Linked DNA regions of Tamandua tetradactyla. The protein of the gene in region 1 purifies or fractionates together with the protein of each later gene. This does not show direct contact. Links are inferred from orthologs where the notes say so. Each region holds a gene or a part of one and is shown on either strand. Other genes may lie near its edges.

Evidence for each region.
Region 2: the proteins of ATP2B4 (region 1) and NPTN purify together in Homo sapiens (co-immunoprecipitation; 3 studies listed by BioGRID and IntAct, with this or other methods). This does not show direct contact. The link is inferred for Tamandua tetradactyla from reciprocal best matches to the Homo sapiens genes ATP2B4 and NPTN.

The regions. Positions count from the first base shown.
Region 1 is NC_135330.1:60,979,726-60,986,589, forward strand, and holds the start of ATP2B4 (plasma membrane calcium-transporting ATPase 4), read left to right. Parts: upstream 1-3,846; 5' UTR 3,847-4,282; intron 4,283-4,866; exon of another isoform or gene 4,867-5,142; intron 5,143-5,911; exon of another isoform or gene 5,912-6,012; intron 6,013-6,864. UniProt on the Homo sapiens protein: Calcium/calmodulin-regulated and magnesium-dependent enzyme that catalyzes the hydrolysis of ATP coupled with the transport of calcium out of the cell. By regulating sperm cell calcium homeostasis, may play a role in sperm motility.
Region 2 is NC_135338.1:68,391,044-68,398,694, reverse strand, and holds the start of NPTN (neuroplastin), read right to left. Parts: upstream 3,002-7,651; 5' UTR 2,855-3,001; coding exon 2,764-2,854; intron 1-2,763. UniProt on the Homo sapiens protein: Probable homophilic and heterophilic cell adhesion molecule involved in long term potentiation at hippocampal excitatory synapses through activation of p38MAPK. May also regulate neurite outgrowth by activating the FGFR1 signaling pathway.

The DNA.
Region 1 (6,864 bases):
TAGTACCCGCACATGGTAGGCCTTACAAATACGTTTAAAAAAATAACACCTTCTGTAAGTGGTTAATTCTTCTATGAACATGTCTGTGCCCCGCCCCTCCAACTAGGCTATAAGCTCTATTTTTCTCTGCACTTCGTGTGGGCCCAGCCAAGGTGGAAACAGTAGACATTTGATGAATGCATACTGAATTAAATAGGTATGCAGTAATACTTGTTGAATGAATAAACTAAACTTCTAAAATAAATACTAAAGTGGGTGTGCCAACTCAAAAAGAGGAGGTAATGGTGACATTTCTGCTTTACTTAGTACAAGTGACCCCAAAAAAACAATTTAATCCAGTTTATGCTTGCATAGTGAGTCATGTAACCAATTCACAGGAAGGGCAAGGGTACAGTAGGATATCAGGAACAATTTGAACCCAGATTCAATTTCTGCCAAGGCTCTTCAGCTGTCTTCTCTGTCTCTCTCTGCCTTTAAGCATCATTCTTTCCTACTGCTGGATGTCTTCTTTCACATGACAGGGCACACGGCCATAACTTCACTTCTCGCAGTGCTCACTTTTGGAGGGCTCCAACCAAGCCTTGCTCTCTCTTTGGTATTAAGTTAAAAAATTTCAGGAAAAAAATTGTTCTTGGTTAGGGTCAGGCAAAGTGTGATCTCTAATAAAATAGCAATTCCCATGTTATCAGATTAGAAAGAGCAACTAAAGAACTGGGTAGGGGTGTGGGGAGGGTGGTTGCCGTTCTGGCCAGACAGAACAACAGACACCCACAATAGGGAGTAATGTCATTTGCATTCAGGGAAGGTGGGCCATGGGACTTAGCAGAAATGGCCCAGCAGTATCTTGAGCCCTGCTCTGGGGAGGCTCTGAATCTGGCTGAGGACAGCTGGCTAAGTTAAAGAAGCAGAGTACCTGTTAAGTCAAGAGGACTTTGACAGCACTAAGAGACAAGTAGGGCTGCTGGTGGGCTGCGGAGTGCCCAGCCAGAAGCAAGCCAGCAATGAACTTCTGATGCCAGAGGCAGTGCCTTCCCTCTGGGGAGACAGCTCTACTTTCCCACAGTTAGTGCTTATATTATATTTACGGATAGGTTTATTTTTACCCATTCCAGACCTCAAGCCCCAAACCTACTGCTGGAAGAAACAGGCACTGAGGCTTCTGGGTTTCCAAAAAGCACAGGCTTCAGTGTCTGGCCCAGTGCCAGAGACCCAGCTGCGGTTAGTCCTGTAGTCATCTAGACCGACCCACCTCTCACATCGCTCTCTCCTGTCTACAAGGGAGGTAGGGATGGAGGTGAAGGAAATTGTCCTTTGCCCATCCCACAATCACCCCGCCAGTGAAAGGTTAGCACTGGGCTCTGAGAGGAGGGCCCTGACAGTTACGGTAGAAGTCATATCCTGGCCTGCCCATGAACTGTGGCCGGCAGGAGGGGGAAACACGTCAAAGCCCTCTTGCAACAGCTTCTCCCCTGCAGGGCTGGTTCCCTAGAACCAAGGGACAAAGGAGAGGATTTTGTCTTTCAAATCAGCAGCTAGGAACTGGCATAAGTTTTTAGCCCCCATATGCCAGGCAGCCAAAATAGACTTCTCCTTTAGTGGGACCACACATCTGGCCTAAATTGTTATTCCTCCAAGACAATTTATCGAACAGTTAGGCACTGTATTCATGCACAGCCACTGCAGACAAGCTTAAAATATACGTTAAGACATTAGAGCCATTTCAGAGACTGGCTTTCTCATGATAAAGATGCAACTGACATTCATCAGGTACTAAAATGTCAAGTTGTTGCAATCCAGTAGGAAGCCCAACAAGCCATTAAATTTGAAGTTCTGTTCGACTGATTCCTTTCCGTTCATTCCAATGCTTCCCCAACAGCTGATTTTGACTTCTGAAGCTGACATTTTGGTAGAACCTAACAAAATCTCACAGGGCCCCCTGTCTTTCTGAGCCATCATTAAAATGGGGAGAACTCCTAAGGCCAGAGACCAAGCTCTTGAAATGCCCGAGGGATTGGACCAAAGAATTTGAGAGAGGAGTGGTGCAAATGAGAACAAACCTTTCATGTCCCCCAAGTTTCTGGGTGAGGACTTCAAACCCCCTAAGGAGGATTACTTGGAGAATAATTCATGGATGAATCCCATCCCCTCCACCCCTACCTTCCTTCATCAGGACTGGGCTGGGGAAGAGAGACAAGCCCAGGCAGGAGCTTATTTTAGTTCTGCTTCCCAAGGTATTGATTCAGGCAATCTCAAGTACCACATTAGGGAGCTCAGGTCTGAGCTTGGCACAACCAGGCTAAAAAAATTAGTTTTTTTTTTTTTTCTTTTTTCTTTTTGGTCTGTTTAACTTGCCTTAGCTCAGAAATAGGATGTGGACGAGTTATTGAGAAATAGTAGGATAGAAGATAAAGAGAGGAAAGAAAGGCCTCAAATGTTAGGTAATCAGGAAGGCTGCTAATGGGCATAGGGTATCCAGACCACTGGATGGTATTCACAGCTCTTTTTCTCCATGTGCAAAATGAACCCTCCAGAAGGTTCTGTGTTCTGGGGAAGCAAAGGAGGACAGGTGTGGTGGTGGTGTTGGGTTAGGATCAGAGAGGCCTTTTCCCAAACCCCTGTTAAGAAGGTTGGGAAATTGTGGTTGGTCACCTTCTTCACAGCAGAATTGGCAGCTATAAGCTATGTCATGTATGCTTAACTGCCTCCCATAAGCACATAAATAGGATTGCATGTGTGTGCCGTGGTGGGTGTGGGAATATATCAGTCAATGAAGATGCATTGTGTGAACCAGTTGATGGTGCGTGTTTATACTTGAAAGCTGTAAGGTTCTATGCAAAATCTATGGGTGGCACTGTTGCACAATGCTGGTGGGTGTGTGGCTGCGGGGGTGTGATTAACAGTTTATTGGCTGTGTAGAAGTGTGCATGGACAACTGCAAATTAAAGCGTGTATGCATGTGCATGGAGTGTGTGCAAATTAAAAGGGAAATGTATGCCAGACTATGATACAAGTGCTAGAAAACACTTGGGCTTTGGAGTCAACCTGACTTGGCCTTGAATCCTGGCTCTATCATTAACCAGAAGCATAACCTTGGAAAAATCACAGGATCTTCAGTTGCCTTGCCTATGAAATGAGGATAATAGTAAGTACCTTTCAAGATTGCCTTGAGAATTAGGAATAATACCTTGAATGCAAAGTTTCTGGGGTCAGAGCTGTCAAGTAGCAGGATTCAAGAATAGGTAGCTATCATGTACTGTGTATGCACCTCTGGTAGGTGCAGAGGCAGTTGGGAGGAAAATGTGCCCCAGAAATGTGTGTGTGAAATCTGGGTGAGGAAGTGCATACTAAAAGTTGGGTGTACAAAACTGTATTATGTTTGCATGTATCCAAACATTCCTTCTCCTTTCCCATTGAGCCCCATATCCAGACAGGGGCAGTAGGGTGGGAGCGGATGGTACAAGTCTCTGTAGGCCCCTTGGGTTTCGGAGTTTCTGGGTCCTGGGTCTAACCAAGTAAGAGGTTGAGAAGCTGGTAGGAGCAGCAGGAAGCCAAACGTCTGCAGATGCTTCCTTTTTTTTCCCTCCACCCAGCAACGGTTGAATAGCCACCCACATTCTCTCCGCTTCCCCCCCCCCCCCCACCTCCGCTTTCCTTTCAACAAGTGAGAGCAAGGGTGGGAGGAAACTCGAGGGAGGAGAGGATTCCTTCCCTTTCTTTCCCCATTCCCCCTTAAGACAAACCAGGAAGCAGCTGCAGCTCAGAACCAGGCCACCTTAACAGTAGAGTAATGGTCTGGCCTCTCGCCAAGTCCCACCTCTGTTCCAGCCTCTGCTCCTCCCCCTTCTCCTCCCTCGCTGCTCCCGGAGAGCTGGTGAGCAAGAGTCTGGACGGAGTTGGCAGGAGCTGTTGCCATGACACGCATTTTCTTAAGAAAGCTCTGCTGTTGAGACCATCCAAAGCTGGGTGGTGGTGGTGGTGGTGGGGCCCGAACTTCCTGGGGAACCATCCGTCCAAGGAGGGCAAGAGCAGACACCCGCCCAGCTCCCCAGCACCCGTTTTCTTCCAGGAATCTGAGAGGTCCTTCCCCTAGGCAGGGCCGGGGGAGGAGACCCAGCCCACTACCCGGCCCCGGTAGGGAAGGCGAGAAAGCAAAGCCAGCATCTCTAGGCTGGTTGCCAATTTGGGGAGGCCGGTGGGTGGTCACCTCCATCGTACCCCCGTCCATGGAAACCTGGAGGGAGAGTCTCGCTTGGAGAAACCTGGATCGTTGCTAGAAAGAGAGGTAGGCTTGCAGAGAATGAATTGACTGGTGACTTGTAAACTTTGTTTCTTTCCTCTCAATCTTTTAAAAAACTCCCTGAATTTCCTCTCCATAGTGTATTTTATGTGATTGGATTTGGAGATCTTGGAGTATTTGTGTAATGTGTTTGTGTGTGTGCACAGATTTGCTAAATATTTGTTTCCTAGACTTGGTTTGGGGAATCTATATAATCAAACAAGTGATTTTCTTTTTCTAGTTTTTGTCATTCCTGGACTGTGGGGGTAGGGAAATGGAGGGAACGTCTTTTCATACCCAAATTGAGCTCTTGGAAAAAGCATTTATTTTCTCCATCCATTCTTGCCTCCCCCCTCCCCCCTTGGCTTGGGAATGAGACGCAGAATGGAAAACTGTTGCAAAAATATTTTCCATGTCTGTTCCCTGTTCCCTTTCTCGAAAGCCCCAAAGAGAGATGGAAAAAAAAAAATGCAGAAGATTTTCAGCAGAAGGAGGAGCTGCAGTGGGGACCTGGAAAGGGGCATACTGGTGGGGGTGGGTGGGTGGGAGGTGGGGGCTAGGAGAAGTTGGGGTGGGGGGAGATAGAAAATGCACAAATTAAATTTGTTTGACTTTGCAGAGAAACCTCAGCAGTTTCTCTCTGCCTCTTGCAAAACATCCTTAGACTTCAAGTCTATAATTAGCTATGGAAAAAGCTGGGAGTTCCCTCGTACTGCTGTTGTTTGACTGTGTGTGAGCATCAGGAACCAACTGTGTGAGTGTCTCAGAAGGGCACCACCCCAAACAACTCAGTTCCCAAAGGGGAGAGAGGAGAAAGGGCTGAAGTTGTAAAGTTTGCTGTTTTAAGGCTGCTGATTGTGGGGCTGGTGAGTGTTGGGGGGTTGGGGGTTGGCAACAGGCGTCCTTGGGAGGGTCCCTGGAGCGTCATGGGCCGCTGCGTTTGTCTTGTTAAGGAACTAGAAATTAAGGCTGGGATTCTCCTTCCTGCTGTCCCTTCACACACACACACACTCACACACACTCACATACTTGGCTTGGGGTATGGGGGTCACTGGCATCCTCCCTGGGGTGAATCCAGTCCCATGCACTCCTCCTGCTGAGGAACCCCCGCTCCCCTCCAGCTGGGTATGGAGGGCACAGGAGGGGCTGCGGCCATCCTGGGAGTGGAGCGGGCACTCTGCTGGCCATAGGCGCCTCCCTCCTGGGCATTCCTGATAGGACTTACAATAACTTGCAGACATGATGCCAGCGCCTGCTGGCCTGGTCCGGGGAATGCCAGATGAAGAAATTAGGCGGGCACTCAACTGATGCTGGTGGGGGTGGGTGGTGGGTGGGAGGGGGGTGGTAAAATCCCATTCCACAGTGCCATCTCCAACCTAGGGTGGGGTGCCTGGCAGGGAGTCTTAAGATCCATTCCTCCGTCCCTCCGTGAGCCCCTCCTCGGAGCTGCCCTGTTCATGCCCTTCCTCATCTCTAGGCCCTGTTCTTGGAAGGAAGGGAAGATGTCAGGGGCATTCCAGGCTGGGACGGGCAGGGGAGGGAGGCCTGGGAGGAGGGAGGGCCCGGGTGGGGAGGCCTTAGGAGGAGGAAAGCTGGAGGGGCGGGGTAGCTTGGACCGATCGAGAGCCGGCTTACCCTTCCTGGCTGAAGGTGGTGGCATCACGCAGCTGACTCTGGCGGGCTGGTGGCATGGTGGCAGCAGGGTAAAAGGGTGCTTTGCGGGGTGGGTCCTGGAACTGAAGCAGACGAGTATGTAAGAGGCAGGCTGAGGGGAAGAGAGGAGGAAACACCTGCCCTTGCCCCAGTCGGAGAAACTGGGGAAGAAAGAAGCAAAGATTTTGAGGAAAGCTTAAATGGGGGACAGGAGAGCAGCAGGAACCAGTTTTCATTTGGAGGTGTTGGATGATTGATCGGACTGCACCCCGGGGCCAGATGATCTACGCTGCCTTCATTCTGATCAAAAGATGAGTGAGGCCTTCCTTGGGGAGAGGGTAGGCGGGGAAATCCATTCTTTGCTCCTCCTAGGGAGCCCCGTCCAACCTGCCACCATCTTGCAAAGGTACAACCCTGAAATCATGCTGTTACACCCCCACTTCTCACCCCCCCCCCCCCCCGCCCGTGTGCGCCCATCTTGGGGATCCAGAATCGCACCAGTCTGCAGCCTGAAAACAATACTCTGACTTGGGAGGTTGGATTCTGGTAGGTTAGTGGGACTTCTGCCAGAACCCAGCCCTGTGGAACAGGTCCTGAGTTAGTGCCCTGGGTGGGGGGGCTGCAGTGGAATTTGTGCTCCGCAGCCCCAGCCCTTTTCACCAGTGACTCCAAGCAGGATCAATACTGCAGCAAAACTGCGTCCCCTCCCCTCTCTGCCTCCCGCCCCCGCGTCAGCCTCTCCCGCAGCTGGGCGCCACACTCCCTGGCTCTGCCTTCATCTAACATACTCTGTTGGAGAAGGTGCTGAGAGCTGCAGAGCTAAAGTGTCTTGCTTCTCAGGTGGCTCAGAGCCCACTCAGTCACTTCCATTCCCATTTGCCACCTCTGTCCTCGGATTCAAGGTCAAGTAGGAAGAAGTCCTGGTGGTCTGTCTT
Region 2 (7,651 bases), on another chromosome or scaffold:
CACATTCAGTTTTAGTCTAAAATATGTGACGATCTTGTCAGGAAGGTTATTTTTTAGGACAGGTTTCTTCCTTTAAAATGAAGTACATTTTTGTTGATACATACAAAAATCAACACCTTCAATAAGGACTTTACTTGAAACTGTGGTCTCAAGTCTAAATTTTGGATGAGAAACAAATCTATCCAAAGGACAGTTCTGAATCCTTATTGTAATGGGTCACAGACTCAGAACTTGGGAGCTAGAAAGGATCTCGAAAGCCATCTAGTCCAAATTCTTCATTTTAGGAATACTGAAACAAAGGCCTTTTGAAAGAAATCTATATTCAATCTAAACTACTACATACCCAATCCAGAAACACTTAAATTATTTTTCAAATGATCACTTTAAATAGATAATCTAACATTTCTAACATTTCAGTGACAAACAGAGCATGGTATCCATTTCTGAAGCACTATAAGAAAATGCAGGACCATTATCAGCTGAAAGCTTGACTCTTATAAAAGAAAGCTATAAAACAGTATTCTTACCTACATGAACTTAAACTCAAAAAGTTGCCATTTCTTTCTCGAATTAACTGACATTCATTTGGGTCAACTACCAGCGCAGCTTCACTTCATCACGTGATTGAATTCAAGTTCATATCAGGGAAAAGGCTGTTACTGTACTTTATTTAGAACACATATCACTGAGAACAGCCAAAAAAGTCTTTGTAGGCCCATCCAAAAACCTTGCTTTTGTTGCTAAGAAACTACAATTTCCCCGTATTACAAATCTTTGAAAAAGACCATGCCAACACAGAGATTAACACGTTACGATAAGAACTCACACCTATTGTGCAAAATGAAAGCATGCCATTCCACAAATCAAATAGGTAAAATTAGTTTTAGGTTTCTTTAAGTTATATTGTTAACACAGACTAAAACTGACAGGACAAATCAGACTAACTCTATGGAGGAAATCAGGAAAACTATCCAATATACTTAGCATATGCAATGCAACAGACAGAAAAATGTTTCCTTCCTGACCCCTGCAGTGATAATCCAAGGCCATGAAGCATACATAAGATTTGCTGAGTTCTATTTGGTACAATTCGGTAGAGTTCGGTAAATAAATCTATATTTAACCAAAAGATGCCTTTCCAATCCCTTATTGATTTATTTTCATCGTAATCCAGCACTTTAAGCCCAATTTCTTCTTAGAATACTCAACTCCAAAAGCTCTATCACTGACTTTTTAAAGAAAATGTCATTTAAATTTCAGCTATTCTAACATAGTAACTTTAAATTGTTCTAGCAAACAATAAACATTGAAGGATTAGCAAAAATGTATGGTTCACTCTGCAGTATTGACTTCTAATACATTCTTTCGCAAAAAAATATTTTCATAACATCTTAGTTTAAAAACTGTTTCCACAAGAGCAGAAACAAGTTCCTGATGCTTCTGTCCCATCTCTGAAAGATTAACTCCGCAGCTGAATTTTAACACACGCCTTCAAGCAGAATCTGTTTTGTCTACATCCCCCACCATCATGATTCGCCACCATTTCTCCATCTTCTCCAAGAGGCTTCAGACTTCAAAACCAATCCTCTTGTTTCCACCGTATCCTACAAACATCTCAGGGACTACTTTCATGTTCCTCAGAAATAATATCTTCTGTCCTGAACCTTGTAGATCTTAAAAACCCACTTCCTCCAGCTCCCTTCCAGTTACTGCTTTCAATCCCACTACTGCAGTTGCAGCTATGAGGCCCTGCCTTCCCAAGGGCCCAACCAATATCACACAGCAGTTGCCACAACCCAACTCCTCCCTTCCCTAATGTTATTCTCCACCCTGCAAACTTAACATTACACCCCCAGCTTCCTGGATTTTACTCCCTTCCCCTATTTTTTTTTTCTCTCCCCCGCCCCATTTCTGTAACCAGGCACCCCTAGCTCTCTAATAAATATTCCCCCCTTCTTCAGTTTCAACCCTTTCTCCCCATCCTCTGCTCATTTTTCCTCTCCTTATTTAGAAACCCCTTTTTGCTCTCCCAACCACTACCCTAGAATGCCCAGCACTCCACCCTCCTTAGCAAACCCAGCCCTCCCCCACCCATCTCGTTTAGAACCACGGCTGCTCTTTCCAGGTTCCCTACTGCAGTCAACCCATTCCCTTAGCTTTCCACCCACTTTCCCTCCGCCCCCACATCCAAGGTCCCCGAATCTCTACTCCCTCCTTAGGGCTCAAGTACTCTGCTCCCCACCGGTATTCTTCAGAACTCCCTTCCCCTAATTCCTCCTTTATTTTTAAGATGTCACCAGTCTTACGGAGCGGAGCCCCAGTAGATCCCTAGGCGAGCCGGACCGAGAGCCCACCCCATCCTTCGTCACCTAAAATACAAACGCCTATATTCTGAAGCCTTCTTTAGAAGCTGTGCCCCATCCTCATTCGCCCCCACTACTCCGGCTCCTCACAGGCTTCTTCCGGGTCCTTTTCCCGACCCAGAACGCGGAGCCCCACGACGGAGAGCCTCTAAGTCAGCAACTAGGCTCACATCGGCCGCCCCCTCCTCTCGGACAGGAGCCTCCTGTCCACACACCCGTGCCTCTTCAACACCCCGACCGTCATCTCCTCTTCTCCGACCCGCAGTCCCTAAGGCTCCGACCGCCCCCCACTCCACCCCCTTGCCCTCGTTCCAGCACTTTCGCGGATCCCGGATCGGCTCCTCTCCGGCCGCCGGCGCCCATCAGCCCCCGCCCGGCCCGCCCCCGGCGCCCAGCTCACCATTCTGAGCGGCGCCTGGCCCTGGGAGGAGGGAGCCAGACACCAGCAACAGCGAGAGGGCCAGGGCACTGGAGGGCGAAGAGCCCGACATCCTCCCTAGCAGAAGACCAAAGAGCGAATGGGTCCGGGCCGGAGCCTGGGCCGGGGAGGGGAGGGGAGGGAGGGAGGGGGCGGGCGAGTGCGCGAGAGAGTGAGCGAGGGAGGCAGAGGTGGCTGGGCTCCGTCCTTCCCCGTCCTCCTCCTACCGCCGCAGCGCCCAAGCCTCGCGAGACCTTCGTGCCGGGCCGTGGGCGGATGTAGAGCGACGGCGCCAAGGCTCGCGAGATGAGACGGCCTAGACTAACACTGGGACATCGCGTCCCCGCCTCTGCAGAGGCTGATTGGCCTAGCCTGAGGTAAGTCACGTGTCAAAGGTGCTTCTGGCCACGTGATGGGGGGAGGCTGGTGGCGCCGGCTCTCATTGACACCGGGGAGCGGATAAGTTTGCGTTCAGTTTACCCCTCTGTGAAACGGGATCGCACATAAATAAAACAAAGCTTTGGGAACATGATATATTTCCTCCACACATCCTGCCTTCCTTTTGTTAGAGCACTTGGCTGCAAAATTTGATACACCGCCGCCTCTTTTATGCCTTCCTCTCATTGTCCCTTACTATTTCTGGCCACAGGCCCCTACGAGCATCTGGCCCCAACCTCCCTTTCTCATCTCATATTTTTCCCCTTCAGGCAGAGTGATGCACTCCCTGTGCCTGTTATTACCTTGTACTAACTGCCTTCACATCTTCTGCCTGAAACGTCCTCATTTTCTGCTCCTCCCCTTTGCTCCTCCATTTTGGCCTTATTTTAGCTTTAAATAATCTCAGGGTCCGACGCCTTGACAGTTCAACTCGCCTAATTGCACGTCCTTAGACACTAAATTCTACAAGGAAGTTATCATACATCAACTTATGTAAAGGATCTTCAGAAGCATTTTAATGCAAAGGACGTTTATTGGGTGGAACGCAAATGAAAAGATGGTCCCTGCCCTCAGTTCACAGCCTAGTCTATCAAAGGAGTGCGGGAAGGGGAAATGACAGCAGTATTCAGCAAAACGACCCATTGGAAAGGAGCCAGCAAAGCATTCTGGAAGTTGATTGCCAATGCAGTCACTACTCTTTGCTCCATAGTTTGGAAAATGTTCTTCATGTGGTTATTTCTTGTTCTACCCTCAGCGCTGTCAACCCTTAGTTGGCAAGGGAGTTTCTGTGGCGTAGCTCATCCCTGACTCAGCAGGCATACTAGGGAGTGTCTAAGGAGTGAAGACTATGAGGAGCCAAGTAAGCAGCCCTAGTGATCTGACTTGATTCTGTGAAAGAGCTTGGAGAACCTGGAGGAAGGAGTGCTCACCCCACCCATGCAGTCTCTCTCAGGCAAAAGTGGTCTCAGCTTTCAACAGGAACTGGACAGCTGGCAGTGGCAGCTTTGTAGCAAGAGCCGGAAACTACAATGATGTGTTGTTGATTGAAGTGAAAACTATATATTCTTCAAAACACTCAATGGCAAAAAAAGTTGGCATGTATTTCTGTCTGGACAAAGGTGTGCTACAGATACCCCAGTAAGAGGGGTTTCAGGGCTGCCTCGGTGGGACCAAGATTTTCATCTGACAGAAGTTTTGGTTGGATGCAACCATTCTGCTTCATAATAACCATAGAAACATCCTTATTTGATCCTTACAACAAGTGTAGGGATAAGCAAAGCAGTGATAATTATGCTTAATTTGTCGGTAAGAACATTGGAGTTGAGAGAGGACATGGTCTGCTCAGAATCTCAGAGTGTTTGTGGTAATCATTAATGCCAAATTGTCTGGTTCCTCCTTCTAAGCTCATGGTAGGATTGTATTTCTCTGCCGCCTTAAAGTTGGGAGTGGCATGTGACTTGCTTCAATCAGTGAAATGTGAGAAGTGACCCTTATAAGCAGGAGTATTTCATTTCCAGTGCAGTCGCTGCAGCATGCTCTTTTGACTGCTTGGTAATCAATGGTCATGATGGTGAAAGTATGTATCAAAATGAAGCTTCTGTCAAAAAAAAAAAAAATGAAGTTTATGTCAGCCTGGGTCTCTGAGTTAGCATAATGAGCTGAGCCCCCGTACCAGCTCATGCTGAGCAGGTAGCATGTGTCATGATAAGCTACTAAGATTTAGGGGTGTTTGTTCTTATTTCATAACCTGAACAATTCTGGTTAGAGGAAAGATAGCAGTCAAGCCAATGCCACCAATGCTTTGTGATCTTGAGCAAATAACCCAATACCTCTGGACCTAATTTACTCATCTATCGAATGGGCTAATAATAGTACCTACGTCATAGGATTAAAAATGGAATAAATGAGTAAGTTTATATACAATGTTTGGAACAGTTTCTGGTGCATAGTAATTGTTCAAATGTTGTTATTGATGATGATGATGATGATGATGATGATGATAAATACTATATTATTGCTGCTGCTGTTGTAGTTCTAACTCCAGCCCTGTATTCATACAACTAGCTCAGTCTTCTTCTAAAAATAGATTTAGAAGGAATATTTTTAAGCCAGGTGTCATCAGTCAACCCTGAAACTTGCAGTTACAGGAAGACTTTATGTTTTACCCATGGAAATATATCTCACATAATAGCAGCTGTACTTTTAGTTCCCTTTTGTTGAGAAAATACATGATTGACTAAAATCTTGCAGTAATTCAATAATTTCTTTAAAGGAATTTGGATTTTTAAAAATTACATACATTTAAAAATTTCTCTACAAGTTAAGTGCAGCCATGCTAGATGGCTGAACTCTTTGTAATACCTCAGAGAAGCCCTAGGGGTCCTCAGTGCTCAGGCCTCACCCACTTTCCTGGCCTCTTGGGACTGCTTAGAGGTCTGGTTTCCAGCAGTGATACTGCCCCCTGGTGGGAAGGTCTTTAATAGCGCATTCCCAGTGGAAAGTATTCAAGGTTGGTTTGATGTGGTTCATCAAGCCATTGGAAGGACATCAGTCAAAATGATAATAGTGTCAGTAGAGTTGGCCTTGAACTTCCTGATGTTTCCCCCTGTCTCCTGCAAAGATTCCTGCTTCTTTGAAGCTCTTGTCCTTCAGATATACCATCCAAACCATCTTGATTTTTGTCATCTTCTGGCTTCCCAGCCACTATAATTGTTTCCCTGCCTCTCCCAACTCCTTAGCACCATCCTTGAACTCAACACATGAATTCAACATCCATGTTGATGACCTATTCAGTATTCTGGACTCTCAATCCCTTGGCCTTCTCATTTCCAATAACCTTCTCCTCAACTGAGCCACCACTTACAAGGTTGCACCCTTCAACATTTGAATCACCAAAAAACAAAAAACAAACAAAAAAAAAAACTTTCTGTCCTTGAAATGTGAAAATATAATACCTCACTCTCCATCTTCCACTTCCTGTTCTTTCAGGTCCTTGCATCAGGACCCCATCGGCTGAAATTTCCAACCTCATTGAAATCTTCAATCCATTAATCCCATCAATTTCTCATTATCTGTTTTTCTGTTTCCCTCCTGGTCTTATAGTGCATGATTCATCGTTACAATCATTTCCTTTCCCACCTCAATCTCTGCCGTCCTTTCCTGAATAAACCACAACCTGGCTGAGACTACAGTCTGAAAAAAGAATGCATGCCTGCACCTGAGCAGCTAAATGTTGCCGGAAAAAAATCATACAAGCAGGCTGAATGGCTTATAATTTTAAATTCATGATCTCAAACCTCAGATGGTTACTCAACACTGCCCAGCACTCTTACTTTCTTATGTGGTAAGCATGTAAGAAATGCCTCATTGCTTTTATTTCTCTAACTCAGATTTAATCTATTTTGAGCTCCTTTTGACTAAGATGACAAGAAATTCAATTTTGATGATTATGAGCCTCCCTCCCCACTTCCTAGGATAATTAAATCTCCTGGGGGCTATGTAGCCCAGGATATTGTTATTATTTATAATTATGATTATGATTATGATTTTGGTCTGGCTCTCTCCTCAGTTCACAATGGTTACTACTGGTGTTTCCATTGCCCAGATCCACACAAAGGTGAATGGTTTGGTGCTTCTCACTGATTCCCTCACCAACCTTAATGTGGATGACTCTCCTTTTCAGTCTGTTGTGATTGCTCCATTACTTCTTACCTTCTTTGCACATTCTCTTCTCTTTGTCCAGAATGCTTAACATCCTATCGTCTTCACCTGGTCTTCTCATCCTTCAGATGTCAGAATTAAATCATCCCTCTTTAAAATACAAATTAAAATCACAATGAGATATCATTTCACCCACAGGCATTTAATTTGATAAAATTAAAAAGAATGACAATACCAAATGTTGGTGATAATGTGAAGTGACTGGAACTCTGATATACTGCTGACAGGTGTATAAAAATGATAAAGCTACTCTGAAGAACTGTTTGTCAGTTTCTTATAGTTGAATATACATCTAACCAATGACCCAGGAATTCTACCCTTGTATCCCCAGTGCCCAAGAGAAATGAAAACATATGTTCACTCAATGATTTGTACAAGAATGCTCTTACTGCTTTATTCATAATAGTCAAAACAGAAAACAATGCAAATATCCATTAACAGGTGAATGGAAAAACTGTGATATATTTATACAATGGAATGCTACTTGGTAATTTAAAAAGATGAACTACTTATAAATGCAACGACATGGATGAATCTCCACCAGAACGCTGAGCAGAAGAAGTGAGGCAGAAAAAAGAGTATATAAAGTATGAATCTATTTATATAAAGTTCTAGAATAGGCAAAACTAATCTTTAGTGATGGAAATCAAATCAATGGGGAGAAAATTGACTGGAAAGGGGCAAAAGGGATCCTTCTGGAGTGACAGAAATA